2 linked regions of the Stegostoma tigrinum genome follow. The protein of the gene in region 2 binds, or shares a complex with, the protein of the main gene of each other region. Links are inferred from orthologs where the notes say so. Each region holds a gene or a part of one and is shown on either strand. Other genes may lie near its edges. The genes, in order: timm10b and agk.

The links.
Region 1: agk (region 2) and timm10b share a complex: the UniProt entries of both Homo sapiens proteins name them as parts of the TIM22 complex. The link is inferred for Stegostoma tigrinum from reciprocal best matches to the Homo sapiens genes AGK and TIMM10B.

The regions. Positions count from the first base shown.
Region 1 is NC_081359.1:113,856,332-113,872,125, forward strand, and holds the start of timm10b (mitochondrial import inner membrane translocase subunit Tim10 B), read right to left. Parts: upstream 6,786-15,794; 5' UTR 6,734-6,785; coding exon 6,713-6,733; intron 5,674-6,712; coding exon 5,578-5,673; intron 4,158-5,577; coding exon 3,888-4,157; 3' UTR 3,427-3,887; intron 1-3,426. UniProt on the Homo sapiens protein: Component of the TIM22 complex, a complex that mediates the import and insertion of multi-pass transmembrane proteins into the mitochondrial inner membrane.
Region 2 is NC_081371.1:24,069,958-24,085,787, reverse strand, and holds the start of agk (acylglycerol kinase, mitochondrial), read right to left. Parts: upstream 6,294-15,830; 5' UTR 6,195-6,293; coding exon 6,094-6,194; intron 910-6,093; coding exon 870-909; intron 1-869. UniProt on the Homo sapiens protein: Lipid kinase that can phosphorylate both monoacylglycerol and diacylglycerol to form lysophosphatidic acid (LPA) and phosphatidic acid (PA), respectively. Does not phosphorylate sphingosine. Phosphorylates ceramide.

The sequences.
Region 1 (15,794 bases), on a different chromosome or scaffold from region 2:
TACAGAATTTGTATCTAACTACCTGTAACATCCAGGAAGTGGGTTAGCAAAACCTAGTTATTGCCTTTGGGTCCTCTAGCAGTGACAGTGATGGCAACTATACCCCTGGTACCATTTTTACGAGTCCTTAAAACTAAGGAGGTAAAAATAGAGAAAGTGGTATGGCAAAGGTTAGAGGACCAGTAAGGTGGATGTTCTAGTAAAATGGACCAAAAAACACACTGTGCATGAACCCGAAACCCCTGAAAATTCAGACAGATGGTCTAAATAAAGTCTCACCCAAAGAAAGGGCCAATGAAGACATGGGAAAGCCTAGACTGGTTAAGGGGAGTATATATGCTCTATCCCTGAGATGGGGTACAGATGCTGAATTGTCATTAAAAGGATGCCTTCTCCATGAGGCAGGCAAAGGTACTCTTGGGGAGTATGAGCAGGAGCTGCAAGCTGGATGAATAGCAATAAAACATTGGTTACAGGGGTATAGTCCACCTAAGACCAACTGGACAAAAGTCCTGGCTTGCTATTAAAAAAACTACGGAGGAAGTCCCAGAACATGAGGAAAGATTTAGGACAACTTGGAAAGAATATGCAGGAGTCTCAACTTTGCAGGACAACAGGGATTTTGAAGGATGTGATTATAGCCTGCTGAAGTTGGCTTTTGTGGCCAGGTTTAAAACTGAGCTTACTAAGACGCTAAAGCTCACCAAACCAGAATAGGACCATTCGGGAACGAATTATTACAAACTGATGGATCGATCCCACTAGCTCGACCGAGATATGGATGCCAAATTGCACACCCTACAGATAGGACATATGGGACAGACTCCCAGTAAAACCCTCTGAGAAAGACCCAGAACAAACACCCTGGGAACTGTTATGTCTGTGGGAAGGAAGGCCACTGGACAAGAGGGGGCTGACAAAGAGGAAAAGGGAGAAGTCACCCAGTAAGCAATAAGGAAGAGAAGATGCCAAAAACTGGGAGTAAGACCGATCAGCTAGTGCTGTTTAAGGAGCTAATTGCCCAGCAGCAGGAGTTGATGACAAAAACTGAGAGAACCCGCTGTGCTCCTACTGGCTTTATGCCAGCAGGTGGGGAGATGGACTGTATGTGACCATGAGTGCAGCCAAACTGGACAGTGAATGCCTTTTGAACACAGGAGCAGAGTTGACCTGCCTACCCCAGAAGCATGAGACCAAACTCCCGCTAGGTGGGACAGTGAGAACAGCATACAGAGCAGGGGCTGATAGGATCGAAATTAAAAGGACCAAACCCAATCAGAGTGAATTTAACCCCCGTGGGTTAGTAACCTCTGTATGGGTAGGAGCTGTAGCCCAGCTGCTCCTCGGGATGGATATCCTCACCCGACTAAATTCATCCTTACATTTCACGGAGGGTCAGACGATGTGGTTCATCAGAACCCTACAATGGGAAGAATTAAAAGACCACCTCATCTGGGCTAAAGATAAGTTCGACTGCGGATCACTGCAAATAGAACCCACGACTGTTACAGGAGCACCTCCACCTTGCACTAAACAGTACCCCATCAGCCCAACGTCTACTGCAGGGGTCTTGCTGATAATTCGGAGATTAGAGGAAAAAGGGGAGAGGGAACTGGAATAAATAGGGAGAGAGAGGGAGGTGGACCGAAGATGGAGACAAAAGAAGATAGGTGGAGAGGAGAGTATAGGTGGGGAGGTAGGGAGGGGATAGGTCAGTCCAGGGAAGATGAACAGGTCAAGGAGGTGGGATGAGGTGGTAGGTAGGGAATGGAGTTGCGGCTTGAGGTGAGAGGAAGGGATGGGTGAGAGGAAGAACAGGTTAGGGAAGCGGAGACAGGCTGGGTCTTTCCTAACTTGTTCTTCCTCTCAGCCATCCCTTCCTCCCACCTCAAGCCGCACCTCCATTTCCGACCTACCACCTCATCCCGCTTCCTTGACCTGTGCGTCCTCCCCGGACTGACCTATCCCGTCCCCACCTACACTCTCCTCTCCACCTATCTTCTTTTCTCTCCATCTTCGGTCCACCTCCCCCTCTCTCCCTATTTATTCCAGAACCCTCTCCCCATCCCCCTCTCTGATGAAGGGTCTAGGCCCGAAACGTCAGCTTTTGTGCTCCTGAGATGCTGCTGGGCCTGCTGTGTTCATCCAGCTCCACACTTTATTATCTTGGATTCTCCAGCATCTGCAGTTCCCATTATCACAGACATTCTAATCCCATCAGGAGTAACAGTCAGCATTTAGCAAGTGCTTAAACGATCTCCTCCTCCGTCAAGACAGATATCATGCAAACTTGTGTACAATTGACACAACTACCTGATACCATAGTGCTAAAATTTTATCATTAAAGAAAATTAAACCTTTAAAAATCTGTGTCTAAAAAGAGTCTACTGTAAAACAGTACTTTGGATTCCATCACCACCTCAAACGGTGCCACTGTGGATGCTCGATAAAGAGGCTATTTTTGCCACTCACCAATCTCGGTCATTATTGCACATGATCTCACACCATAAACACACTGGGAACACAAGAATGTTCAAACAATGTCTACTATTAGTGAAATATAGCAAGGTGGCTCAGTGGTTAGCACCGCTGCCTCTCAGTGTCGGGGAGCTGGGTTCAATTCCACCCTCGGGTGACTGTGTGTGCAGTTTGCACATCCTCCCTGTGTCTGTGTGAGTTTCCTCCCATGATCTAAAGACATGCAGGGTAGGTGAACTCGCCATGCTAAATTGCCCAGGGAAGTTTAGGTTAGGTGAGTTAGGCATGGGAAATATAAGGGTAAGGGAATGGGGTTAAAATTGTTTCAGAGACAGTAGGAACTGCTGATACTGGAGAATCTGAGATAACAAGGTGTAGAGCTGGATGAACACAGCAGGCCAAGCAACATCAGAGGAGCAGGAAAGCTTGCTGTTTTGGGCCTAGATCCTTCTTCAGAAATTTCTATGAAGAGTTCTACAAATAAGGGTCTAGGCCTGAAATGTCAGCTTTCCTGCTCCTATGATGCTGCTTGACCTGCTGCATTCATCCAGCTCTACGCCTTGTTATCTCTGGTAAGGGAATGGGTCTGGGTGGGATGTTCTTTGGAGTGGCGTTGTGGTCTTGTTGGGCTGAATAGCCTGTTCCCACACTGTAGGGATTCTATGATGCTTCTATGAAAGACTGGTGTGGCGTCTCTGTATGGATTATTCCCACAGTGACGCACTCACTATGTCTGCAATTTTACCTCTTAGTTCTGGGCAGCTCATCACTCACAGAGGGACCATACTCTTAGTGGTAATGATATAATTCATGTGTTTGGGGCCTGGAGTAGACGACAGACTCCTGAACTGATAGTTCAGATGATAAAATATTCTGAAACATTACCCACAATTTCTTAAACAACATCTGTGAACTGAAATAAGTGCTGTCATTTGACAAGGGTCTCACCTGTAACTTAAATGTATATTAATTCACTGAAGAGCAAGGAAACATTTTCAATGAAACTAACTTTAATCAGTTCCATGCCTTGGCTGTCTTGAGCTCCTTTTTCGTTTAAGATGTTAACAGTTCAGCATTCAGGAGTTGAGTTTTCACTTTCACAATGTGAAACGCTCTGGCTATTCTGGTCAGTATGACCTTTGGTTTCCAGTCTTGTCACTGTCTAATAGTTGCGGTCAGTCCAGTTTGGCCCATTCCAGACCACACTCCAGCTTCTGTCAACACAAATTCAACTACCTGTTTAAAATGCCAGGTGATGTAGATATTGAGCTGGGTCTGTTGATTTTCTGTTACACATCAGCTCCCAACTGATGCCGTTTGATTCGCTGGAAGTTGGAAGGAATCACTCAATCTGTGCACGCAAGGGTAAGTGAAAGAATTAGTGCCAGGGTGACACTGGGAGCAAGAAACTAACTCTGGTCAGGAGAGCCAGTGTTAGTCTGATTCAGTGGGTCAGGGATAACAGAATTTTCCAAGTCCCCTGGTACAATTTCAGCAATGTTACTTTGGCCCTCTGATGCAGGCAGATTCACATTTGATTTCTGCACAACCTCTGCAGCTTTTGCCTCATAGTCAGAGATTCTTCTTTGAACAATGGTTGGCATGAGCCGGACGTAGGAACTCATTAACCGATGGTTGGTGTGGATCAATTTACCAGCACAATTGTTGATGCAATTCTCCTAGAAAGAGAGGAAACATATTAAAGCACATTCCGTTCCAGAGCATACCATCAACAAACTGTGTCATATCGTACAGACACCTAATAGGCCGCACTGTCAAAGGGTCATGAGTAATTTGTCAATATCTCTGCAATTTCCACTTTCCCTTCCATATCCTTGGCATACATTGTTTTTTAATTCTCTTATGAGGTGTGGGTGTCATTAGCTGGGCCCAGGATTTATTGCCCACCCATATTTGCTCCTCGAGATGGTTACGGTGTGCTGCCTTCTTGAACTGCTGCAATCCATGTGATGTAGCTAGACCCAAAAAGCCCTAAAGGAAGGAATTACAGGATCTGACCCAGCAACACTAAAGGAACGGCAATATATTTCCAAGTCAGGATGGTGAGTGTCTTGGAGAGGAACTTGCAGGGTATGGTGTTCCCATGTATCTGTTGCCCTTAATAAAAATGAAAAGAACTGCGGATGCCACAAATTAGGAACAAAAACAAAGTAGCTGGAAAAAGGTCCTTCTGTATGGAAGTGGTCATGGGTTTGGAAAGTGCTGTCTGAGCAACGCTGGCAAATTTTTGCCATGCATCTCAACTGGTCTGGTGACTTCTCACTGCCAACAGTGTCTTGAATACCAGCTCCTTATTAACCTTAAACCCTTTCAGTGACTGAGATTTTGTCTCTGTCACCATGTACTGAGCAGCACCTGCCCCTTAAGTAAAGATAGCTGCAAAGTATTTATCTAACACCGAGCTACATCTCTTGGTTCTAACTGTAATAGCCCATTTTCATCTCTGGTTAATCAAAGGGTGAAAGATTACTGGGGATGGAGTAATGATATGAGCCAAGAAGGAGGGTCAAAATGATCCCTTGTTCCTGATTTGTGTGATGAGGTTCAAAGAGTCAGAGAGGTCTCAGCACAGAAAAAGGCTCTTCAGTCCATCAAGTATGCACCAGTCAAAAACTGTCACCTAATTATTCTAATCTAGGATTTGGCCCATTCTCTTGCCTGTCCTGGCATCAGAAGTGCACATCTAAATACTTCTTCAATGTTAAAGCGGCTTCTGCCCTTTCCATCCTGACAGACTGAGTTCCAGATTCCCATCAACCTCTATGTGATATTTTTCCTCAAATAACCTTTAAACTTTATGGCTCTTCCCTTAAATCTACACATCTGCTCATTGATCCCTCCAAAGGGAAAATTTCTTCCTGTCTACCGTATCTACGACTCTGATTATTGTATGCATGTCAACCACATCCACTCTCAATCTACTCTGTTCTGTTCTAAGAAAAATAACCCCAGTCTTTCCAACCTCTTTTCGTACAACTCTCTAGTCTAGGCAACATCCTGGTAAAATTATGTTTAAACCCTTTCCAGGGCTATCACATGCCTCCAATGATGTGTGCAGCTGGTCATCCTTGGATTTACCTCAGTCAATGTGATGCTCCTGTAGTTGAGGTTGGCCACACACTTGTTGAAGCAGGTTTCTGTCATTTTGTTATAGACCAACAGGAAGTCCCGCAGCTGAAACAAAGAGAGAGCGAGCGAGCTGGAGATTAAGATCACAGAGGAGCAGAAACAAACCCATACACCTACCCCTCCATATATGCCATTGACCTCCTTCCCGTGAAAACACAGATGCTAACACAGCCATTGCTGTCCGTAAATTTCCACGTGAGTGTATGATGTTGGGAGTGGGGGATAGGAATGAACGGATGTATTACTGAGGGGGTTTGTGCAGGACATAGACTCTGGGGGTGAGGGGGATTCTTAGTGAAGAGGGCAGCCACATGAGATTGGGGCAAGTGAGCTGGGGAGGGGTTAGAACACAGAACATAGAACATGACAGCACAGTAGAGGCCCTTCGGTCCTCGATGTTGTGCCGACCTGTCATACCGATCTCAAGCCCATCTAACTACACTATTCCATGTACGTCCATATGCTTATCCAATGATGACTTAAATGTACCTAAAGTTGGCGAATCTACTACCGTTGCAGGCAAAGCGTTCCATTCCCTTACTACTCTCTGAGTAAAGAAACTACCTCTGACATCTGTCCTATATCTTTCACCCCTCAATTTAAAGCTATGCCCCCTCGTGCTCGCCGTCACCATCCTAGGAAAAAGGCTCTCCCTATCCACCCTATCGAACCCTCTGATTATTTTATATGTTTCAATTAAGTCACCTCTCAACCTTCTTCTGTCTAATGAAAACAGCCTCAAGTCCCTCAGCCTTTCCTCGTAAGACCTTCCCTCCATACCAGGCAACATCCTAGTAAATCTCCTCTGCACCCTCTCCAAAGCTCCATATCCTTCTTATAATACGGTGACCAGAACTGTACGCAATACTCCAAGTGCGGCCGCACCAGAGTTTTGTACAGCTGCAGCATAACCTCTTGGTTTGTGGGGGAAATTGGAGGGGGTGGGGGGGTGAGGGAGGGGTGGGGGTGGGGGGGGTGAGGGAGGGGTGGGGGTGGGGGGGGTGAGGGAGGGGTGGGGGTGAGGGAGGGGTGGGGGTGAGGGAGGGGTGGGGGTGGGGGGGGGTGGGGGTGGTGAGGGCCTCACGTTGCGAATCTCCGGCTCCATTCTGTCTCGACGACCTTTCCCAAATCGCTTCCGGTGAGCCGCCCAGTTGTGTCGTCACTTCCTGGCGGTGGCCCGCCCTGGCTCCGGGTCCCTAGAAACCGGCTCAGGCCCCTCCCCGCCGAGAGACACCCGAGCGGCAGCCCCGGTAAGAGAACGGGGCGGGGGGAAACAAGAGGTCCATCCCATCCCCCCACCCTAACCCGTCTCCCTCTCCCTCCTTCCCCCTCCTCCCCGACGCCCCCACTCTCCTCCCCCCTCTCCCCCCCCCCCCATTAGTATTTGTGTGTCGCTATGATTTGTGAACTGCTGGGGAAGGTGTCTGTTTGACCAGGGAGTGCCCATCATACTCAGGACGGGTTGCTATTCTCAGTTGGTCAGTGTCACCCAACTGCCCACGTTGTCTTACCCACTGCTAGTGCAGTCCACCCCCTTGACCTGCTCCCATGGTATGAACCTGCCCTCTGTATATTTCTCCACCTCCTGCTGTGGTTTGCACTGATGTAGTTGCTGATCGTAGCGTGTATTTGGAGACTAATTCTCGCCCTGACCTTGTTGACATCACTCGATGTGTCTCACCTGCATACATGAACGAAAATTGTAGACTCTTCAAACATCAAACTGCGACACAACAAGCTGAGTACTGCTTGGATCACAATGTGTAACAGAGTACTCCCTCTGTGACATGCACACATCCTACAGCCTGTATTCAGTGCTACCACCACCGCCTCCCTCCTTGTCTCTGTAACCTCCTCAGGCCCCTGACACGTACCTTGTCCCTCCTCCTGTCACCCCATTTGTGGCTATTCCTTTAGCCTCTTCAACCCCACACATCAGTCCACGTAACAGGAATGCAGTTTGCCAACATCAGAATTCCTCATTGTTTATTCACGGTAAGGGTCACTAACTGTTGCAGTTCAGAGTCACTATTTATTCAGACTAGTAGCAGGAAACTATAAAGTGCTGTGTTAAACATGGTAACAAACAGGAGCAGGCCCTTTAAGCCTGCTGCATCATTCATTGTGATCATTGCTGATCATCCACTCGAGTCTGTGCGTGTTTTTACCGATCATTGTTTGATTCCTTTAAACTCGGGTACTATCTACAATTCCCTCTTTTAATCATTGTGTTTTTATTGACTGCTTTCGGTGGCAATGAATTCCACAGGCTCTCTACTCTCTGGGTGAAGAAATTTCTCATCTCGGTCCTAAATGACTTATAATGACTTAGACTGTGTCTCTTGGTCCTGGATTCCACACTTGTCATCCTTCGTGCATCCACCCTGTCTGGTCCTCTTTGAATTTTAAAGGTTTCAGTGAGATATTCCCCACCCCACTGCATCATCCTTCTGAAATCCAGGGAATAAAATCCAAACAGATGCAATCTTTCCTCCTACAACAAGGTTAGGTCACTTGGGATCCCTGGAGAGCTAGCGAATTGAATTCAAAATTGGCTTGATAGTAGGAAGCAGAGGGTGATGGTTGAGGGTGATTTCTCAGATTGGAGGCCGTGACTAGTGGTGTGCCACAGGGTTCAGTGCTGGGACCTTTTGTTATTTGTTATTTACATAAATTATCTGGATGTGAATGTACGAGGCATGATCAGTAAGTTTGCAGATGATACAAAATTAGGAGGTATCGTTGATAATGAGGAAGGTTATCAAAAATTACAGAGGGATCTTGATCAGATGGGGAAGTGGACTGAAGATTGGTAATTGCAATTCAATACGGATAAGTATGAGGTGTTGCACTTTGGAAAATCAAATCATGGTAGAACTTATGCAGTAAATGGTAAGGTCCTGAGGAGTGTTGTGGATCAGAGGGACCTAGGAGTACGAGTACATAGTTCACTGAAAGCCGTGTCACAGGGTAGATATTTGCATGCTGGCCTTCATTGGTCGAGGCATTGAGTATAGGAATTGGGACCAAAAACAAGTTGCTGGAAAAGCTCAGCAGGTCTGGCAGCATCTGTGAAGGTAAAAAGAGTTAACGTTTCGGTTCTGGTGACCTTTCCTCAGAACTGAGAAAGTTACTTAGTTCTGAGAAAGGGTTACCAGATCTGAAATGTGAACTTTTTTTTCCCCATCGCAGATGCTGCCAGACCTGCTGAGCTTTTCCAGCAACTTTGTTTGTTCCTGATTTACAGCACCTGCAGTTCATTTGGTTTTTACATAAGAATTGGGACGATCTGTTACAATTGTACAAGTTGTTGAGGCTGCACGTGTAGTATAGTTTTCAGTTTTAATTACCCTGTTATAGCAAAGACATAGTTAAACTGGAAATTGTGCAAAGAGGATTTATGAGAATGTTGCCAGGACTAGGAGGCCTGAGTTATTGGGAGAGATTGACCAGGATAGGAATTTATTCCTTGCAACATGGGAGAATGAGGGATGATCTCATTGAGGTGTATAGGGCATATATAGAATGAATACATTTAGTCTTTTTCCCAGGAATAGTGGGTTGAAAACTAGAGGATGTAGGTTTAAGGTGAGAGGGGAAAGATTTAAGAATGACTTGAGGGGCAACTTCTTCACGTAGAGGGTGCTGCATATATGGAATGGGCTTCCCGAAAAAGTGGTTGAGGCGGGTATAATGGCAACATCTAAAAACTTCTAGATGAGAAGGGTTTAGAGGGATATGGACGAAATGTAGGCAATTGGAACAAGCTGAATGGGCACCATGGTCAGCATGGACCAGTTTATGCTGAACGGCCTGTATTATTCTATGACTCTATAACTATCCCAGGAATTAATCTGATAAAGCTTTGCTTCATTCCCTCTGTAGCAAGAACATCCGTCCTCAGAGAAGGAGACCAAAACTGCACATAATACTCCAAGAGTGGCCTCACCAAGACCCTGTATTACTGCAGCAGGACATCCCTGCTCCTGTACTTGAATCCTCTTGTTATGAAGGCCAATATCCCATTTGCCTTCTTCACCTCCTGCTGCAACTGCATGCTTATCTACAGTATATCATGACACCCAGGTCTTGTTGAACATTCCCCTCTCTCAATTTCTTGCCATTTAGATAATGGTACGCCTTCCAAGTTTTTGCTTCCAAGTGGATAACCTCACATCTTTCCAAATTATGTTTCGACAACCATGCATTTGCTTACTCACTCAACTTGTCCAAGTCACACTGCTGCATTTCTGCATCCACCCACCCATCTTTGTGTCATCTAGTACCCCATTGTCACTGTGTACTACTCAGAAAAAGACCCATTTATCCCTACTCACTGTTTCCTGTCTGCTGTCATCGGTGGGGAGAAAAACAGAATTCATGCATCAAGTCCGGTATGGTGATTCTTCAGAACTGCACGGGTTGGACAAGTTTTACCATTCAACCTGTTTGGAGATGTTATTACACACTTCTGGAGCAGGTGGTAATTGAACCTGGGCCTCCTGGCCCAGAGGTAGGGACACTGCCACTGCATCACAAGACAGCCTTTAAAATGTTGGTTTAAATGAGATGGCTGAATCCCAACAGAGTGAGCCTGATATCCCCGTAGGCAGATTCATTTGTATAACGTACAGGAACAGGCAAAAGGAAGGAGTTGAGTGTTAGATGTGGGGTAGCAGTAATGTTTGGAGAAGACATTGTGGTATTGAAGAGAGAATAAGAGGGGCCAAGGCCCTGTTACAGGAGTTAATTTATAGACCTCCAAATGGACACAGATGGAGCGAAGCAAATCTGCAGGGAAATCACATGGAATAGCTTGGTAATACTTTCAGATTTGAATTAAACAAATATATATGGGGAACAATTTTAGAATAATTGGGAATGAGGGTGCTGAATTTATGAAATGTGCTCAGGAGAACGTCTTTGATCAGTGTGTTCTTGGCCCAATGAGAAACAATGCTGAATCTGGGTGCTGGCAAGTGTTTGGGGACGCCATTGTATCATTTAAATTCGGATTAGTAATGCAGAGTAATACTGGGTCAAGAGGGGATCAAACCAGTGTAAAGACTGACTGGAATGATTGATGACCTTTGAAAGACAAGTAAAATAGACATATGATTCTAAAGGGGGTGAAGAAGCAGACGCACCTCGGGGTATATGTGTACAGATCATTGAAAGTGGCAGGACTGATAGAGGAGGCACGTGTATGCGTATGAGTACAGCATATACAGTATTCTCTGTACAAGACACTTGTTAGACCCTCAGCTGGAGTAGTGTGTACAGTTGTAGACACCACATCATAGGAAAGATATGAACACATCTGCAGAAGTGATATATAAGAATGGTTCCAGGAACAAAAAACTTCAGTGATGAGGACAGATTGAAGAAATCGCAATTGTTCGACATACAGGTTGGAGTGAAGAAGGCTAAGAAGAGATATGATTAAGGTTTTCAAAACCATGAGGGAGCTGGACAGGGTATATAGGTTCCCACGCCCTGAAAAAATAATCCAGAAACGGAAGCACCGATATAAAGTGAGTTGCAAAACAAGTAAAGGTGAGGTAGAAACACAGTATTGACACAGTGAGTAGTTGGGTCTGGAATGCACTTTCTGGAAATGTGACGGAGACAGGTTCAAATGAGGCATTCAAGAGGCACTAGATGATTATTGGCTAGAAATAGTGCTCAAGACTATGGGGGAAAGAACAGTGGATTGGCACGAAGTAAAGATACCCCTTTGAAGAGCTGGTACAGGCACATACAGCCCTGTTGCATTTTTCTCTAGCTGGGGGCGTGGCACTTCAAGTGATTATCTAAATACTTATTTTTCTCCTCGGTAGAACTGAGAGTTGATATTAAGATGAGTTGAATTTTGGATAGCTACGTGTTTTAACAAACAAATGCAGTTTTTTGATATTGGAAACTGTTATCTTTAGTGATATAAATAAAGCTGTTAATGAATGCCCAAAGACCATAAAGTGTAGGAGCAGAATTAGGCCATTCATCCCATCAAGCCTGCTCTGCCATTCAATCAAGATGTGTTTCTCAACTCCATTCTCCTGCCTTCTCCCTGTAACTCTTGATCCCCTTACTAATCAAAAACCAATCTATCTCTGTCTTAAAGACACAATGATGTGATCTTGACAGTTCTTTGTGGTGATAAGTTCCACAGATTAATCACCTTCTGGCTGAATAAATTCCTCCTCATCTTGGATCTACAGGGTCATCCCTTTGCTCTGAGACTGTTCCCTGGAGTCCTAGTTTCTCTTCCTAATGGAAAACCTTCTGCATGTCCACTTTATCCAGGCCCCTCAGTAATCTGTATGTTTCAATCAGATGTCGCCTCATCCTTTTAAACTCCAGCGAGTACAGACCGAGAGTCCTGAACCATTCCTCGTGTGACAAGCACTGCATCTTGGGTTCATTCCTGTACATTTCCACTGGATGCCCTCCAGCGCTAGCACTGTTTTCCTTAGATACAAGCCCTAAAACTCTCTCAATGTTCCAAATGCAGGCTGACTAGCATCTTGTACAACCATATCAGTGTATCTATGCTCTTGATTCTAGCATTCCTGAAATGAATGCCAACATTGTATTTGCCTTCCTAACTGCCAGGTGAACATGCGTGGTAATCTTAAGAGAGCCCTGAACGAAGATTCCCAGTTTGTACTTCAGATTTCCTAAACCTTTCCTCATTTAAAAAATAGTTTATGACTCTTCTTCCTAGCAAAGTGTGTAGGCTTACATTTTCCCCACATTGTATTTCATCTGCCACCTCTTAAGCCATTCGCCTGGCAGGTAAGTCCTTCTGCAGCCTCCCACTTCTTCAGCATAACAGTCCTTGCACCTGGCATTCAGCTTGATCTTGAGTTGGTCAATCAAGGAATGACTGAGGCTAACCAGCAAGTGCAGAGTGATTTTTGAAGCTTTGGGACTAGCTGCTGTTTCTTACTATCTCATGTTTTGTATCCAGTTAAAGAATTATTCAATGTTCTGAGAGAAGACTGTAAGGAATAAATAAATATTTCTGGAAGTCTACCGAAACTATTCGTATTCACTGGTGATTTTGAAATTAAATTTACAGTTATATGCCTGTGAAGTACTCATTATTCAAGGATCGCACAAAGACTTGGTATTCATCATTCAAAACTGTTTTACTGAACTAGCAAATTATAACGTTTATTTTCTTTTTAGTTTATCCCTTAACTATGTCTGCCTGTTTCTGTGTGAATCAGGGTTTATGATCAAAGAAGATTGGGGTTTAGAACGTAGAACATAGAACAATACAGCGCAGAACAGACCCTTCGGCCCTCGATGCTGCCCCGACCTGTGAACTAATCTAAACCCCTCCCCCTTCACTATCCCATTATTATCATAAGTACAATATTGATTAGATTATCTTGTTTGGCTTTGCCCTGCCATAGTTGCAGTCTTGATAAATTGTTAATAATTTTTATTTAAGTTATAAGCTTGGTGTTCAGGATTTGTTATTCATAAAATTTTATTAGGAACAACTGGGCAATTCTCAGGGTCATTGCATATTTTAGTTTCACGCGTTGTGTGTCCAGTGATAGTAGGGTTGATTGGGTTTTGCTTGTTTTCCATATCTTAACAGTACTGAACTGGATGATCAGCCATGACCATATGTTAATAATATAATTATATTCTCGACTAGTTTCCCGTGCAAAACCTTGTCAAAAATCTTATTTAAAAAGTCCACGTAGATTCCATCAGCTGCATTGCCCTCATCCACACATATATATTCACCCTGGGTTTCCTCCCACAGCCCACAGATGTGCAGGTGAGGTGGATTAGCCATGCTAAATTGCCCGTCGTGCCCAGGGATGTGTACAGTAGGTGGGTTACAAGGGGATGGGCCTGGGTGGGATGCTGTGAGATTCAGTGTGGACTTGTTGGGCTGAAGGGCCTGTTTCCACACTGTAGGGATTCTGTATTCTAAAAAATCATCTTCAATAACAAATCAAACACTTCAGATGTAATCTGCCCCTGACAAAGCCATGCTGACTACCCTTAATCCATCCTTGCCTCTCCAACTGGAGATTAATTCTGTCTCTCAGAGCATTTTCCAATAGTTTCCTTACCACTAATGTTGGAATCACTTGTCTATAGTTCCCTGATTTTTCTCTACCAACCTTCCTAAGTAATGATACCACCTTAGTGCTGTATCAGCCCTCTGGCACCTTTCTTTGCTATAAAGGATTTGATTTTTAATCTCACTAAGTTATGGTTATTATCACAGGTTATTACTTTAGGATAGATCCCTCCATGACCTTGCAGCCTGCCATGCTTGTGGCCTGAAACCTCATAACCCTCTGTGATCCTACAGTTCTGTCCTTTGTGAATCCTGAATTTATTAGCTTCACCATTATAGGCCATGCTTTCAGCTGTATTTTGGCAGAATTTCTGGAGTTCCCTCCATGAACAGAGGAATGGAATTGTGGGAGATATTGCAGTTTGGATCGGAAATTGGCTTGCTGAAAGAAGACAAAAGGTGGTAGTTGATGGGAAATGCTCATCCTGGAGACCAGTTACTAGTGGTGTACCGCAAGGGTCGGTGTTGGGTCCACTGCTGTTTGTCATTTTTATAAATGACCTGGATGAGGGCGTAGAAGGATGGGTTAGTAAATTTGCAGACGACACTAAGTTCAGTGGAGTTGTGGATAGTGATGAAGGATGCTGTAGGTTGCAGAGAGACATAGATAAGCTGCAGAGCTGGGCTGAGAGGTGGCAAATGGAGTTTAATGCAGACAAGTGTGAGGTGATGCACTTTGGTAGGAGTAACCAGAAGGCAAAGTACAGGGCTAATGGTAAGATTCTTGGTAGTGTAGATGAGCAGAGAGATCTCGGTGTCCATGTACGCAGATCCTTGAAAGTTGCCAACTCGGTTGACAGGGCTGTTAAGAAGGCATAGAGTGTTTTAGCTTTTGTTAATAGAGGGATCGAGTTCCGGAACCAAGAGGTTATGGTGAAGCTGTACAAAACTCTGGTGCGGCCGCACATGGAGTATTGTGTACAGTTCTGGTCACCGCAATTTAAGAAGGATGTGGAAGCTTTGGAAAGGGTGCAGAGGAGATTTACTAGGATGTTGCCTGGTATGGAGGGAAGGTTTTACGAGGAAAGGCTGAGAGATTTGAGGCTGTTTTCATTAGAGAGAAGAAGGTTGAGAGGTGACTTAATTGAAACATATAAAATAATCAGAGGGTTAGATAGGGTGGATAGGGAGAGCCTTTTTCCTAGGATGGTGACGGCGAGCAGGAGGGGGCATAGCTTTAAATTGAGGGGTGAAAGATATAGGACAGATGTCAGAGGTAGTTACTTTACTCAGAAAGTAGTAAGGGAATGGAACGCTTTGCCTGCAACGGTAGTAGATTCGCCAACTTTAGGTACATTTAAGGCGTCATTGGACAAGCATATGGACGTACATGGAATAGTGTAGGTTAGATGGGCTTGAGATCGGTATGACAGGTCGGCACAACATCGAGGGCAGAAGGGCCTGTACTGTGCTGTAATGTTCTATGTTCTATGTTCCTGTTGTACACTTCTTTCGATTTTGGCCAGAGGATAGTGAGAGGGTTGGTAGGATGGGCAATCATATAGCCATTTTAATGCCAAGATTTGTCACAAGTTATGCTTAAGTTTCAATAAAGGATACAATGCTAAAGCAGATTCAGGAATAGAGGGACCAGGGTTTACATGAATAAAGGTTACTGAATGTGACAGGACAGGGAGAGAAAATGCACACAGGTAAATAGACCTCCAGCTGGAGTGTTGTGTATGTTTTCGGGCACCATGCTTCGGGAAAGATGTAAATGCATTGGGGAAAATACAGAAGTGATTTAAAGGAATGAGAAACTTCAGTTTTGAGGATAGATTAAACACTGTTCTCCTGGAGAGGAGAAAGTTGAGAGAAATTGCGCAGAGGTGTTTTGAGGGATCCACATGGAGTAAATAGAAAGAAACTTTCCACTGATTGTAAGTTCGGAAATAAGAGAGCACAGATTGAATGTGATTGACAAAAGAAGCAAGGTGAAGTCAGAGTTAAAGTTTTCACATGACAAGAGGTTAGGATCTGGAATGTGCTGCCTGTGAGGACAGCTATTGACAACGACATTCAGCTTCGCTTCTAATGGCCAGAGGAGCGACCC
Region 2 (15,830 bases):
GTTACAAACGGGACCCTCATTAACCTTCTCAGCTTAACTTTAAGGAATTATACACAGAATTACTGAACCACTCCTGAAAATGCCATGTTTGTGGTGCTGACACAGTCATATAGAATCTACTGTCCACTAAAAGAACAGCAAACATTGATTGCTCACATTTTTCAATTAGATGGGGGTTGGTTGTCCAAGGTAGTAGAACAAAGCATAATTCTTAGTATATTTATTCAAGGTAGGTAAAGGAACATTGGGAGCAATAGTCCTCTTGGAGCACAGATTTAATAATGTACCGATTGTACTTGCAATTGCAGAGTCTGGTGGGATTTTTGATGACATGAAAGAGTCAAATGGACATAAAAGTCACTTCTTAAAGTATACATCTAACGAAAGGAGATCAAGAGCAAAGAGACACCCAGGCAGCAAACAGCAGCCTATCAGTCAATTATACAGTTAAAAAATATTCAGGTTTGCACTCAATAGACTTTTGGGTTTGACATCAGCAGTCTTTGACAGACCAAATGTCCCTTAAAATCAGGACGTTACCTTTATGTCCAATGTTTAGTCACAATAATATAAACTGGTAGATACATCACAGTTGAAAACATGATGTTATATAAACTGGATGCTGCAATCTCATATTTGCATGCATTCTGAAATACAAACAGAAAATGCTGGAGAAACTCAGGAAATCTGACAGCATCTGTGGAGAGAAACGGCATTAACATTTCAGGTCCAATACGATTCTTTTTAAGAACTCAAGAAAAATTATAAATTGAACATCTACCCCACAAAGCCTCAGTAAGTACACAGGCTAATTATAGAGGCTAATTAATCAGCGAAAAAATTCATCCAATAATTTCCGAGTGCCTTACCTCTGCCTGTTGACATGCTGCCCTGCGCAAGAGATTGTCCCTAAATAATACATTAGAAGATATGTTAAAGGACTATATGGAATTACAGATATTTTTATTGAAAGTACTGTTTGTAATCAATTTTAAAGGAATAACTGCAAACATTTGAGTGAAAATATCTTACCAGACTTAAACTTTTACTTTTAACTTTCTTATATTTTTAATGTTCTTCAAAGTTGGGCAGAATTGTTAATGTTCCGGTACTATCTATAATATGTTTTAATTCTTATTCCAGTACAGAGCAGTTACATTATTGGGTAAAAATCAAGTCAAATGTCTTGTGCTTTATTGTAATTCCTGCTTATTAAACCTAAATTGCATGTCACAGCTATCAATTTTAAACAAAATTACAATTGCATCATGCCTGAGACAACAGTGGTATTATAATACAATGAACTTTTGGCATCAATACTTAGCCTCCAGTCCTCCCTAAACTAAGTGACGTTAGTGACCTTGAACAACCAGCTCTCTGATAAATTTAGATTATTTGACTTTCATGCTCATTTGGCTCACAGAGTCTCAGACTACTTCATTTGAGCTTAAGACCTTGGATTTGACGATTAACTGCTGTTATAGAAAGGGTCTAAAATGAGTAACCAAAACTGTGGCAGATGGAGGCCAATGTGAAAAGTTTGAGGTGATCTACATCAAATCTGCCCCTGCCAAAAAATTCAAAAGTAGGTGATTTGTTGATAAGAGATGATCTAAGGAATTAAAGGAGAGAGGGGAATATCTATACTAAATTGGTTTAATGACAGGAAGCAGACGTTAGTAGTGAATTGGGTGTTTTTAAGACTGACAGGTCGTTTGCAGTGATGTCCCACAAAAGTTAGTTTTGGGTTCATTCCTCCTTTACATTTTAATAAACAATCTATCCTGGTTGATAGGAACAATGATGCAAAATGCATACAGATGGTGTGGGACTTAGCAACAGTGGTGATGATAGTTTACAGACTTCAGTTTGGCACAGAAATGAAGGTGTAATGAACAAAAGCATGGTAGATGGACGGCACAGTGGAGAACTGTGAAATTATATATTTTGGAAGGACAAATATTAAAAAATAATACTCTGCATGGCACAATTTTAGAATGCACAGTTGAGCAGAGAAACCTTTGTACCCACATGCATGCATCTTTAAAGGCTAGAGGCAATATTGATGTACAGTTAAAGAAATCATGTCGGTTTATAAATGGAAATGTAGAATTTAAGAGCTAAACAATCACTCTAGAACTATACAAATCATTGATTAAGCCTCAACTGAAATGACATGAGCAATTTGCAACATGTATCGGAAAAGAAGGCCACAGAAAGAATGCTGAGAAGGTTGTTTAAGATGTTACCAACGATGAAGGCGTTCCACTTATGTGGAAAGGTTGGAAAATTAAACATATTTTTCTTCATACACAAAAGGTGAATACGTGGCCTACTAAATGTTTAAGATCAAGAGCGGCTTTGATAGAGAAGACAGAGAATAAAACTACTCCCTCTGTTGAATGGGGCAACAATCAGAGGTCTCAAATTCATAGATACTCAGCAAAAGTTTTAGAGTGGAGACTACAATTTTGCTTAATTCACAGTTGGCAGGATCTGGAACATTCTACTTGAAAAACATGGTCTATGGTAATTCCTTAAATGATTATTAAGTGTGCTGGACAGATACTGGAACACATGAAATGTAAAGTGTTACAGATAGAGAGTAGGGGAACTGTGACTAAATGCAGCTGCTCTTTCATAATGCCAGCAGGTGCACATTGGGCTGAATGACCTTGTGTTGCACTGTCAACTGCTCAAATTCTGACAAGGTCAAAATCTGAAGTACACTACAGATCATATCTCCCTAATCCAACGCCCGCTGGTCCAGCAACCTCTTTGGTTCATCATTCTCAGTAATTTTGGATTTTCCTGTAGTGGTACCTGAAGCTCAGCTTTGATTTTCATTTTTATTACTTTTGGTTACACTTTGTCCAGTTGGGTGACCTAAACCCATTTGTTGTTGTTCAACTGAATAACCATTCATCCATTAGACAAGTGATTGTTTCAAGTCAAGGTTAGCCCTTTTTCTTTAAAAAAAGTGTTTATTTGTTGAATACACTTGAATACCTCCATTGGTCTGGCAAATTCTCCTTTCTAGTTAAGGTGCCAAGACTGACAGATTAGAACAATACCACATGTACCCAAAAAAGGGGGAAATCGAACTCCATAGGAAATTATAAATGACAATTAGTTGTGTTGCTGGAAAGGACTGGTTCATAGGGTTATGTGGAAAAAGCAGTGATATGGAGTTTAAAATGGTGGTCCATCATGTTGCGCTGACTATCTTACTTCTGTCGAATAAAATTCTATAAACATTTTCTTAATTGGGCACTCTAAATTGTAAAATATCAGAGGGTCTGCAGGTACATAAACCTTAAGTGCTAATTTAGTGGTACAAAAGTAATTTAAAAATTCAACATAATGTTACTGTTTAACATAAAGGATTTGTAATACAAAGAATAAATTATTCGTTGATTGTTCAGATGAAATCGAGAGTATTATGTTCAGCTTTGTGAACCAAGAAGAGTATATGGTCTTTGGAGGGAGCACAGTATAGAAAATGATTGGTTTGACCTGCTCGAATTGATAAAAATAAAACTCAGTACAGTCAATGCTGAGAAGTTATGTCCTCCAGTCAGATGCAGAAGTCAGAACTGTAGGGCCCATTCTTAAAATTAGAGCTACTTGATACACAAATTAAAAAGTACTTTGTACCACATGGAAATAATGGAATTCTCTACTTCAAACTTTATTTAGATTCAAATGAAATTCTGCAAACTGATTCATTTGTTAAAAAGTAAGGAAACGAAGTTGAGCTGCTAAGCAGCCGCAATCTAAATGAATAGTAAAACAAGCTAGATCTATTTCTGGTCTTGTGTCTCCACTCAAATGACTGTCCCCAGAGGTTTACAGCCCACCCACTTCTCATCATTCTCTTCTGCTAAGATGTACAATTGTCAAATTCCGACCTGAATCTAAAACCACTCAAAAAGGTCATTACGTCACCCAGTCTATCTATATCTGTGACTATGGCCTGTAGCTTAAAAGAGCCTCCTAAAATTATGCCCACATAACAAGCATGCAATACTGGTTAGTTTCTAGTTTTTAAATTACATGATCCACATAGACTTCATAAGGCATTCAACAAGGTTCCGCACTATGGACTGGTCAGCAAGGTTAGGTCACATGCATTATGGGGAAAATTAGCCATTTGGATACAGAACTGGCTTGAAGGTGGTGCTGGGTTCCTTTTCAGACTGGAGGGCTGTGAACAGCGGTGTGTCAGAAAGATCGGTGCTAGGTCTCTGCTTTTCATCACCTATATAAATGATTTGGCTATGAACATAGGAGGTAAGGTAAGTTTGCACATGACAACAAAATTGAAGGTGTAGCGGACACCAAAGAAGGTTACCTCAGACGGCAGTAGGATCTTGATCAGATGGGCCAATGTGCTCAGGTGCAGCAAATGGAGCTGCAATTTGGAAAGGAAAATCAGGGCAGGACTTGTACACTTAACGGTAAGGTCCTGGAGAGTGTTGCTGAACAAAGAGACTGTGAAATGCCAAATAGACAGCATAGTGAAGGTGTTTGGTTTACTTGACCTTACTGGTCAGTGCTTTGGAGTACAAGACTTGGGAGGTCATATTGTGGACATACAGGGCACTGGTTTTGAATACTGTATGCAATTCTGGTCTCCCCGCCATAGGAAGGATGTTGTGAAACTTGAGAGGGTTCAGAATAGATCAACAAGGGTGTTGCCAGGGTTGGTGGGTTTGAGCCAGAGGGAAGAGCCTGAATAGGCTGGGGCTATTTCTCCCCCCCTCCTCGAGTGACAGAGGCTGAACAGTGACCTTATAGACAGTTATAAAATCATGGCGGGCATGGATAGGATGAGCAGACAAGGTCTTTTCCTCAGGCTTGGTGGGGTGGGAGGGTTTCCAAAACTAGAGGGCATAAGTTTAGTTTAAGGTGAGAAAAAGATTTAAAAACCTCCCAGGGCAATGTTTTCACAGAGGCTGGCACGTGTATGGAATGACTTGCCAGAAAAAGCAATGGAGGCTGGTACAATTACAACATTTAAAGGACATCTGGATGGATACATGAATAGGAGGAGTTGAGGGATATGGGCCAAATGCTGGTACATGGTACTAGATTAATTTAGGGTAGCTGGTCAACACAGACAAGTTGAACCGAAGAGTCTGTTTCCATGCTGTACGGCTTGGTGACAGTGGGTGTAACTAATAACACTACAATTCTTTTTCTCCAGTTTCTATAGCTCACATACAAGAACGTAGCACATACTGAATGATTCCAAAGAGTAGAGATAGTGGGAACTGCAGCTGCTGGAGAATCCGAGATAACAAAGTGTGAAGCTGGATGAACACAGCAGGCCAAGCAGCATCTCAGGAGCACAATACACTGATTCTATCTCAAGTGCATATTATTAGTTAGACAGAAGTGATGCTAAGTTTGTATTATACAATACCATGCTTTAGCATGTCCCAGGTTATGCATTTTATGTCTGCAGCACCAGATACCTTGTGTTACATAAGTCTTTTTCTTTTTTTTCCCCCCCTTTTAACAATACAGCATAGAACAGGCCCTTTGGCCCTTGATGTAGTGCTGATCTGTGAACTAATCTAAGCCCATGCCCCTGAACTATCCTACATCATTCATCCAAGGACTGTTTAAATGCCCCTAATGTGGCTGAGTTAACTTTCCATCTATTTTGTTCTATGTCAGCTAGATGTGGTGGCAACAAGAGTACTTAATGACAATCGAGGATATGGCCCCTACCAAAGAAGAGGAGGATCTCAGTGAACGAGCAGTTTCTAGCCCCAGTCCTGGTTAAAAGGTGGTTTCTAGTCCCCGTCCCTTTTTATGATATGTTCACTCATGGGATATGGACATGACTAGATGGTCAGCATTTATTGCCCGTCCCTAGTTGCCCTTTAGATGCTGATGGTGGTGAGCTGCGTCCTTAAACTGCTGCAGTCCATGTGGTCTGGGTCCACCTACAATGTCCTGAAGAAGGAAATTCCAGGGTTTTTGCCCAACTACAGTGAAGGAACAACGTGCAGGTAGTGGTCCCAGGTAAAGTGCCGATTTTCTCCAGCCCCAGCCCCCCACAGGTGAAGGACTCTCTAATACCGGTATCTCCTGTGCACCCAGTGCGCTCCCCAGCTCAGTCCGCAAATCCCGGCCGCTGTTTTCTTCCAGTGATTGCGCAGCGTCTTTAACACTTTAGCCATTCCCTTGGTTCCAGATCCCGGCACCGATTCCACGCAAAATAGACCACTTTTAAATCAACTCAGCAAATCCGGAAATGAAGCTTCCTCCTGTTCACATGGAGACTGGTTCCGTGTATAAAGCGGTCCGGCCACCAACAACCCGCTTTCACACCTGTTCCGTTAATCAATCCCCAGTAACATTCAGGTGCAAACTACCAGTGCCATACTTATGAAAACTTACTTTGTTTGTATACTACTATTTTTACAACGAGAGAATTTTGTTCAGGATGGAAAAAGTTCTCAGTTTATGGAGGAAGTTATACGAAAACCTCAGAAAACCATGAACAACAATCTAGACAGTAGCTGCACTAACTGTTGGCCCTACTGAACACAGCTACTTCCACATTCCTATAATATCCTCTTCTTATTTGGGTAGGGACCACATCCTCGATTGTCATTAAGTACTCTTGTTGCCACCACATCTAGCTGACATAGAACAAAATAGATGGAAATCCCCTCAGGCTTTACTTCTGTGGTTTTCAGGCTGATCGTTCCTTGACACAATTTAATTATGTCATGACAAAAATAAACAAAATCCTTTTAAAATTATTTTAAACAAATTCAAATCTGTAATTTGAAACAATATACCAATAATGTTGCAAGATACTATAATCATAAGTAGAGGTGAAAATTGATTCAGAGATAGTGGGAACTGCCAATGCTCCTCAATCCATCTTCTATCCGCCTTCCCCCTCGCTCCCTATTTATTTCAGAATCCCCTTCCCTTCCCCCATTTCTGAAGAAGGGTCCAGACCCAAAACGTCAACTTTCCTGCTCCTCTGATGCTGCTTGGCTACTGAGTTCATCTAGCTCTACACCTTGTTATCTCAGATCCCCCAGCATCTGCAATTCCTACTATCTCTTAACTAGAGTTGCCTTCTGTTTAAATTCCAGGTGTTTGGAAAGTAGCACAAAATGCTGTGAATAACAAATACTTAACAAGATTTTGCAGTCCTTAAGCAGGCTTTCACATTCTATACCTAATGAGTTTAACTTAGAGTGTGCTGTTGCTGTACCTCATTAATCCAGCTACTACAGTAATTCTATTAATTGAAGAGGAGATAACAGCACCTAAGCTATTTTGTAATTAATAAATACAAACAGTGGTTGCTCTATGCAAATAAAGTAAATCCATCCTGTTAACAGCTTCACAGGGAAAGAGACATTAGTAATCAATTAGTAATCAGCTGAAATCTGTGTAACTAGGTGATAGAGCAAGGCTTGAATGCAATCAAATTCAAATGTCCCTTTAAAACTTTTACTCCAGTTTCTTTTTGCAAAATATTCAGCTGTTCTCGTAGGATCTTACAATTGTGAAGGAGACCGTTCTGTTCATCATGCCAGTGCTGGCTCGGAGTTTTATAATTAGACTTCAACAGTCACATTTCATTCATTTTACAACTTCTCTCTTTCAAAAATTTGCCAAGTTCTTTTTCAAAATTATTTTTGAAGCTGCTTCCGCCAGCCTTCCAGACAGATCATAACTGATTACAGAGTCTTTTATAATAGCCAAAAGATCCGCAATTCATCCCTCACACCCCGTCCCGGCAATAACCACCAAAAGAGAATCCTCCTCGTCATCACATACCACCCCACCAACCTCCAGATACAACGCATCATCCTCCGACACTTGCGCCATCTACAATCCGACCCCACCACTAAAAACGTTTTTCCATCCCCACCCTTGTCTGCCTTCTGGAGAGACTACTCTCCCTGTGACTCCCTTGTCCGCTCCACACTCCCCTCCAACCCCACCACACCCGGCACCTTCCCCTGCAACCGCAGGAAGTGCTACACTTGTCCCCACACCTCCTCCCTCACCCCCAACCAAGGCCCCTGGATGACTTTCCACATCAAGCAGATGTTCACCTGCACATTTACCAATGTGGTATACTGCATCCACTGTACCCGGTGTGGCTTCCTCTACATTGGGGAAACCAAGCGGAGGCTTGGGGACCACTTTGCAGAACACCTACGCTCAGTTCACAATAAACAACTGCACCTCCCAGTCGTGAACCATTTTAACTCCCTTCCCATTCCTTAGACGACATGTCCATCCTGGGTCTCCTGCAGTGCCAAAATGATGCCACCCGTAGGTTGCAGGAACAGCAACTCATATTCCGCTTGGGAACCCTGCAACCCAATGGTATCAATGTGGATTTCACCTACTTCAAAATCTCCCCTCCCCCCACTGCATTCCAAAACCAGCCCAGCTCATCCCTGCCTCCCTAACCTGTTCTTCCTCTCACCCATCCCCTCCTCCCACCTCAAGCCGCACCTCCATTTCCTACCTACTAACCTCATCCCGCCCCCTTGACCTGTCCGTCCTCCCTGGACTGACCTATCTCCTCCCTACCTCCCCACCTATATTCTCCTCTCCACCTATCTTCTCCTCTATCCATCCTCGGTCCGCCTCCCTCTCTCCAAATTCATTTCAGAATCCTCTCCCCATCCCCCTTTTCTGATGAAGGATCTAGGCCCGAAACATCAGCTTTTGTGCTCCTAAGATGCTGTTTGGCCTGCTGTGTTCATCCAGCTCCACACTTTGTTATCTTGGATTCTCCAGCATCTGCAGTTCCCATTATCTCTGAACACAGAGTCTTTTATCTTTGTTCACTTGGCCTTTTTTTTGATGATTATTTGAAATCTGTCCTCTGGTTACCAACTGTTCCTGCCACAGGGAATAGTTTCTCCTATTTAATCTATCAACTTTTATGAATTTTGAAAGCCTATATCAAATCTCTCTTTCATCGTCGCTGCTCTAAGGAGAACAAACACAATGTCATTCATCCCTCTACTTAACTGAAGCTGCTATCTGATATTCTTGCTGCCTCTCAGTATGTGACATTCCAATGAATTCTTGCCTACTAGTACAGATGTTTTATTGAATTTTATTATAGAACATTTACACACTTTAAATTCTCCTGTTTTGTAATGTGGGAATGAGCCTGTGAGTATGCCCAGATGTCAAGTCTCTGACATACTTCAAGGAGGACGCAATGGAGCGAGGTTCATCGTGGAGGCTTTCGGGAGCAGAAGTACCGTGGGCTTGTTGTTGTTGGATTGTTTTGGTAGGGTTTTTCACTTCTCCACTTCTTGTGGGGTTAAAGACAATCTTACAGTCAGTAAATCTGTTGTGGCATTTTATTTTCTGTCATCCATTTTCTTTTTCTTTTCTCTGCAAAATGAGACACAGGAAAAAGGACCAGATAAAGAGGCAGATGTGACAAGTGCCTTCACTTCAGGGAAAGATGATAATTGTTGCCTGAAACAGGTGCAGGCCATGAATGTACTCTCAGAAACTGAGGATTTAAAGTGTAGGCTCAAGAAATGAACATTGAAGAATTTGTTGGCCTTATTTTTTTGTTTAGAAAGGATTCTTTCAGATTATAAAATGATGTTGAGCTAGTGAGGACCTCTTCCATTTGTAGCAGGGCATTACACATTAACGGGAGTTATCTCAGTGTCAAATTGTAATGTGGTCTCGAGCATGCTTGACTTAAAGGCACATCTGCAGGTATAATGCCAAAAGAACTTATGAATACAAAGCCTTGGAGGTTTTGAGTGCCAGATTGGAGACGTTGATGGATTTCAGCCTTTGATCTACTGGGATTCGATCCAGACAAGCATATGTCAGGGCTTCCCTTGGATGAATGCAAAAGAATGGGTGGTCTTCTGTGGTGCAGATGAATGCAAAGGGACAGTAGGTCTGAGGTGCATCTGTTTTAATGCAAGAAGTGTAGTAGGTAAGGCAGATGAACTTAGAGCTTGGATTAGTACCTGGGAGTATGTTGTTATTGCTATTACTGAGATTTGGTTGAGGGAAGGGCAAGATTGGCAACCAAATATCCCAGGATATAGATGCTTCAGGCGGAATAGAGAGGGAGGTGAAAGGGGTGGAGGCGTTGCATTACTGGTCAAAAAGGGTATCACAGCAGTGCTGAAGGAGGGCACTACAGAGGACTTAAGCAGTGAGGCAATATGGGCAGAGCTCAGAAATAAGAAGGATGCGGTAAGAACATTGGGGCTGTACTACAGGCCTCCCGACAGCGAGCGTGAGATAGAGGTACAAATATGTAGACAGATTATAGAAAGACTTAGGAGCAACAGGGTGTTGGTAATGGGAGATTTTAATTTTCCCACCATTGACTGGGATTCACTTAGATGGAGCAGAATTTGTAAGGAGCATCCAGGAGGGTTTTCTAGAGCAGTATGTAAATAGTCCAACTCAGGAAGGGGCCATACTGGACCTGGTGTTGGAGAACGAGTCCGGCCAGGTGGTTGAATTTTCAGTAGGGGATTACTTTGGAAATAGTAATCACAATTCCGTAAGTTTTAGAATACTGATAGACAAAGACGAGAGTGGTCCCAAAGGAGGAGTGCTGAACTGGGGGAAGGCCAACTATAGCAAAATTTGGCAGGAGATGGGGAATGTGGATTGGGAGCAGCTGTTTGAGAGTAAATCCACATTTCATATGTGGGAGGCTTTTAAAGAGAATTTATTAGAGTGCAGGACAGACATGTCCCTGTGAAAATGAGGGAAAGAAAGGGCAAGATTAGGGAACCATGGATGACATGTGAAATTGTGACACTAGCAAAGAGGAAAATGGAAGAATATATAAGATCTAGGTGACTGAAACAGATGAAGCTTTGGAAGAATATCAGGAAAGTAGGACGAATCTGAAATGAGGAATTAAGAGGGCTAAAAGGAGTCATGAAATATCTTTAGCAAACAGGGTTGAGGAAAATCCCAAAGCCTTTTATTCATACATAAGGAGCAAGAGGGTAACTCGAGAAAGGGCTAACCCACTCAAGGACAAAGGGTGGAAGTTATGTGAGGAGTCAGAGAAAATGAGTGAGATTCTTAATGGGTACTTTGTGTCGATATTCACTGAGGAGAGGGACATGATGGACGTTGAGGTTAGGGATAGATGTTTGATTACTCCAGGTCCAGTCAGCATGGCGGGGGGGGGGGGGGGGGGGGGGTAGTATTGGGTATTCTAAAATGCATTAGAGTGGACAAGTTCCCAGGTCCGGATGAAATCTATCCCAGGTTGTTGAGGGAAACGAGAGGGGAAATAGCTGAGGCCTTAGCAGATATTTTTGCAGCATCCTTGAGCATGGGTGAGGTCCTGGAGGACTACAGAATTGCTAATGTCCCCTTGTTTAAGAAGGGTAGCAAGGTTAATACAGGTAATTATCAACCAATGAGCCTGACATATGTGGTGGGGAAGCTGCTGGAGAAGATACTGAGGGACAGGATCTATTTACATATGGAAGAAAATAGGCTTATTAGTGATCGGCAGCATGATTTTGTGCAGGGAAGGTCATGTCTTACCAACTTGATGGAATTCTTTGAGGAAGTGATAAAGTTGATTAATGAGGGAAGGGCTGTGGATGTCATACACATGGACTTCAATGAGGTGTTTGATAAGGTTCCCCATGGTAGACTAATGGAGAAAGTGAAGTCGCATGAGGTCCAGGGTGTGCTAGCTAGATGGATAGAGAACTGGCTGGGCAACAGGTGACAGAGAGTTGTAGTGGAAAGGAGTTTCTCAAAATGGAGAACTGTGACCAGTGGTGTTCCACAGGGATCCGTATTGTGACCACTGTTGTTTATGATATACATAAATGATCTGGAGGAAGGTATAGATGGTCTGATTAGCAAGTTTGCAGACGACACTAAGACTGGTGGAGTAGCAGATAATGAAGGGGACTATCAGAGAATACAGTAGAATATAGACAGATTGGACATTTGGGCAGAGAAATGGCAGATGGAGTTCAATTCAGGCAAATGTGAGGCGATGCAGTTTGGAAGAGAAATCTGGGTGTTCAGGTCCGTTGTATCCTAAAGGTGGAAATGCAGAAGATAGAATGGTCAAGAAGGCATACAGCATGCTTTCATTCATCAGACGGGGTATTGAGTGCAAGAGTTGGCAGGTCATGTTACAATTGTGTAGGGCTTTGGTTTGACCACATTTGGAATTCTGCATACAGTTCTGGTCTCCACATTACCAAAAGGATGTGGATGCTTTGGAAAGGTTGAAAAGGAGGTTCACCAGGATGTTGCCTGGTATGGAGGGCACTAGCTATTTTTAGAGGTTGAGTAGATTAGGATTATTTACATTAGAAGGATTGAAGTTGAGGTGGAACCTGATTGAGGTCTACAAAATCACGAGAGGTATAGACAGTATGTTGTGGATAAAGATACCACCACCTGGTATATCAATAAACAAAGCAGTATTAGGTTTTGGACCACATTAATTGACCTTACCCATAAAGTGTTTGATGCATTGCCATTGCCTTCAGCACCATATTCCAACACATTTAGGAAAAGTATGCTGACTACAGTTTGAAGTTTTCTTTCAGGGAAGGCAAGGGCCTAGCGGTATTATCATGAGACTATTAACCCAGAGAATCAGAAAGTGTCCTGGGGACCTGGATTTGAACCTCACCAATGGCAAATTGTGAAATTTGAATTCAATAAAAACAAATCTGGAATTCAGAATCTATGATGACCATGAAATCAATGCCAATTGTCAGGAAACACTCAGGTGGTTCATTAACGTCCTTCAGGGAAGAAAATCTTCCATCCTCACCTACTCTGGCCTATCAGTGACTCCAGACCCACAGCAACGTGGTTGACTCTCAGTTACCCTCTGAAATGGCCATTCAGTTGTACCAATTGCTACAAAGTCTCAAAGAAATGAAACTGGATGGATCAACTGGCATCGACCTAGGCACCAAAAAAGACAACAGCAGAAACAGCCCTGTCAGCCCCGTGAAGTCCTCCTTACTAATATCTGAGAGGCAGAGCCAAAATTGGGAGATGCTTCTCATAGACTAGTCAAACAACAGCCTGACATTGTTTGTAAGGGTATAATTCTGTGAGTATGACTATGTCCCAGATACCACCATCAAAACCTCTGGATGTGTCTTATCTCACCAGCAGTACAGACCTAGCAAAGGTGGCGGCACTGTGGTATACAGTCAGGAAGGAGTTGACCTGGGAGTTCTCAACATTGACTTTGGACCCCACGAAGTCTCATGACTTCAGGTTAAATATGGGCAAGGAAACCTCCTGCTCATTACAATGTACTGTCCTCCTTTAACTGATGAATAAGTACTCCTTCATGTTGAACACCGCTTGGAGGAAGCACTGAAGATGGCAAGTGAACAACAACACCTTCCAGACATCCAGTACAGAAAATCTGTACCCTTGCCACATCCCCACAATATTGGGTACTTCATCAATGTAAATGTAAAATCAGAAGATCTGATATTGCCAATTTTACATTATCAGTCAGCACTAGAATTAATTCCATTTGATCACTAAACTCTTTCTTCTAAAGTGTTTAAGTTACTTACATTAAATAGTCCTCCTCACTTTTCCAAACCATGGAAGCAACTTTGTTGCCAACTGTATTTGGTGAACTGTGCTGCCCCCAATAACTTTGCTTAGGTGACAATTTGACAAATTACACCCACAGCGAAATGGTTATTGTCTCTGAAAAAAAGTGTAATTGTGTTAGAATCTGCTTAAATATTTGTTATAAGTAGGTCCATTTTGTGCTGGCACAGCAGTATTTCACACCAGCAGCATGTCTTGCTCACACAGGACCATGCAATTGAAGTTCACTGAAAAACACATTCAGAAAAACAACACTGTGGCTTGCCCACTGTCTTATATTTACATTACTTGAACTATTGAGCCATTCTCTTTTTTGGGGGAGACAAAAGTAGATGTTTAATGCTTCACTGGAAAAGCTCATAGTATATTAAATTTAGTTTGCAGTGACTTCCATGAATTATTTCTACATTATACCCAACTCGTATCAGAGATAGAAAGAACTGTCAATGCTGGAGTCAGAGATAACACAGCAGGCCAGGCAGCATCAGAGGAGCAGGAAAGTTGACGTTTCAGGTTGGGATTTCGGAAGAAAGGTCCCAAACCAAAACATCAACTTTCCTACTTCTCTGATGCTGCCTGGCCTGTGTTCCTCCAGCTCCACACTGTGTTAACCCAGCTCATATGTCATGTCTGCACCAATTGACCTCCTGTTGTCATACTATTCTCACATCCATTGCATCAACTTTTGCCTGTTATAAATTATTACATTCACATTTATTATCAATCTGCTCTACGTTAAAATGTACAATTTGCAACAAAAGCTAATACGTCTTTGAAATGGATGAACAATAAATTTTACAAACTGGCTCCTAGAGACCAAGATAATAAAATGTGAGGCTGGATGAACACAGCAGGCCAAGCAGCATCTCAGGAGCACAAAAGCTGACATTTCGGGCCTAGACCCTTCATCAGAGAGGGCGATGGGGTGAGGGTTCTGGAATAAATAGGGAGAGAAGGGGAGGCGGACTGAAGATGGAGAGAAAAGAAGATAGGTGGAGAGGAGAGTATAGGTGGGGAGGGGATAGGTCAGTCCAGGGAAGACGGACAGGTCAAGGAGGTGGGATGAGGTTAGTAGGTAGGAGATGGAGGTGCAGGTGAATACAAGTGGTAATGGGACAAGACTGAAGAATCGCAACAGACCCTTTGAAATTCAATGAACACCTCTAAAGGTAAACAGAAACTCCTTGACAATGGCTTTCCTGGAGGGGTGAATAGCTCTTAACAACTCAATAAAAGTCCGAAAGAATGAGACCCGTTCGAGTTATTGGCTAAAACAGTTAAAAATTTAATTACCTGCACTAATACCATGACTAATATGATACAACAGTTTGGGATAATGGCTACATTTTTAGTTTTAAACTATACAGAAGTCTGACTGTAATCAGCCATTTTGTGCTGAGAGAACCTTTGGAGAACCTCAAGCCATCACTTCCAGCTGAATTGTGAACAGCATTTGAGGATTGGTTTTTCTTTTTGCTACCTGGAATTGGAGAGGAAGTTGCCCAGAACCGCACCGTGATCTCTCGTAAAGGAATCCAGACAGTCTTCAAGTGCTGGTATAACCAGTAAAGAAACAGGCACCTTACTTGTTCCCTGAGCTGCTATACCAATTGAGTCCATCAACAAACAAAAAAAACTAACTATTCGACAGCAGAAACCATTTCAGCTGATGAATCTGACTTGATATTTTAACACAGATAATAAAGTGTGAGGCTGGATGAACGCAGCAGGCCAAGCAGCATCTCAGGAGCACAAAAGCTGACGTTTCGGGCCTAGACCCTTCATCAGAGAGGTGATGAAGGGTCTAGGCCCGAAACGTCAGCTTTTGTGCTCCTGAGATGCTGCTTGGCCTGCTGTGTTCATTCAGCCTCACATTTTATTATCTTGGATTCTCCAGCATCTGCAGTTCCCATTATATCTGATATTTTAACACTTTCACTTTAGGAAGATTACCTCCAAGCAGGTCAGGCCTACAGCAATATACAGATTGATCTTATTTTCATCTTCATAGGTACCCTCACTTAAAATCTTTGTATTTTAGCTAACAATTTAATCACTTTTTAACTTAAGGAACATTCAGCAAACTTTTGTTTCACAAAGCTGTGCTATTTGTTTTTAAATTTAAACACAAAAATTAATACGAGGCTATGTACCAGGTTGCAAAATTCTTACTTCACAGACTACTC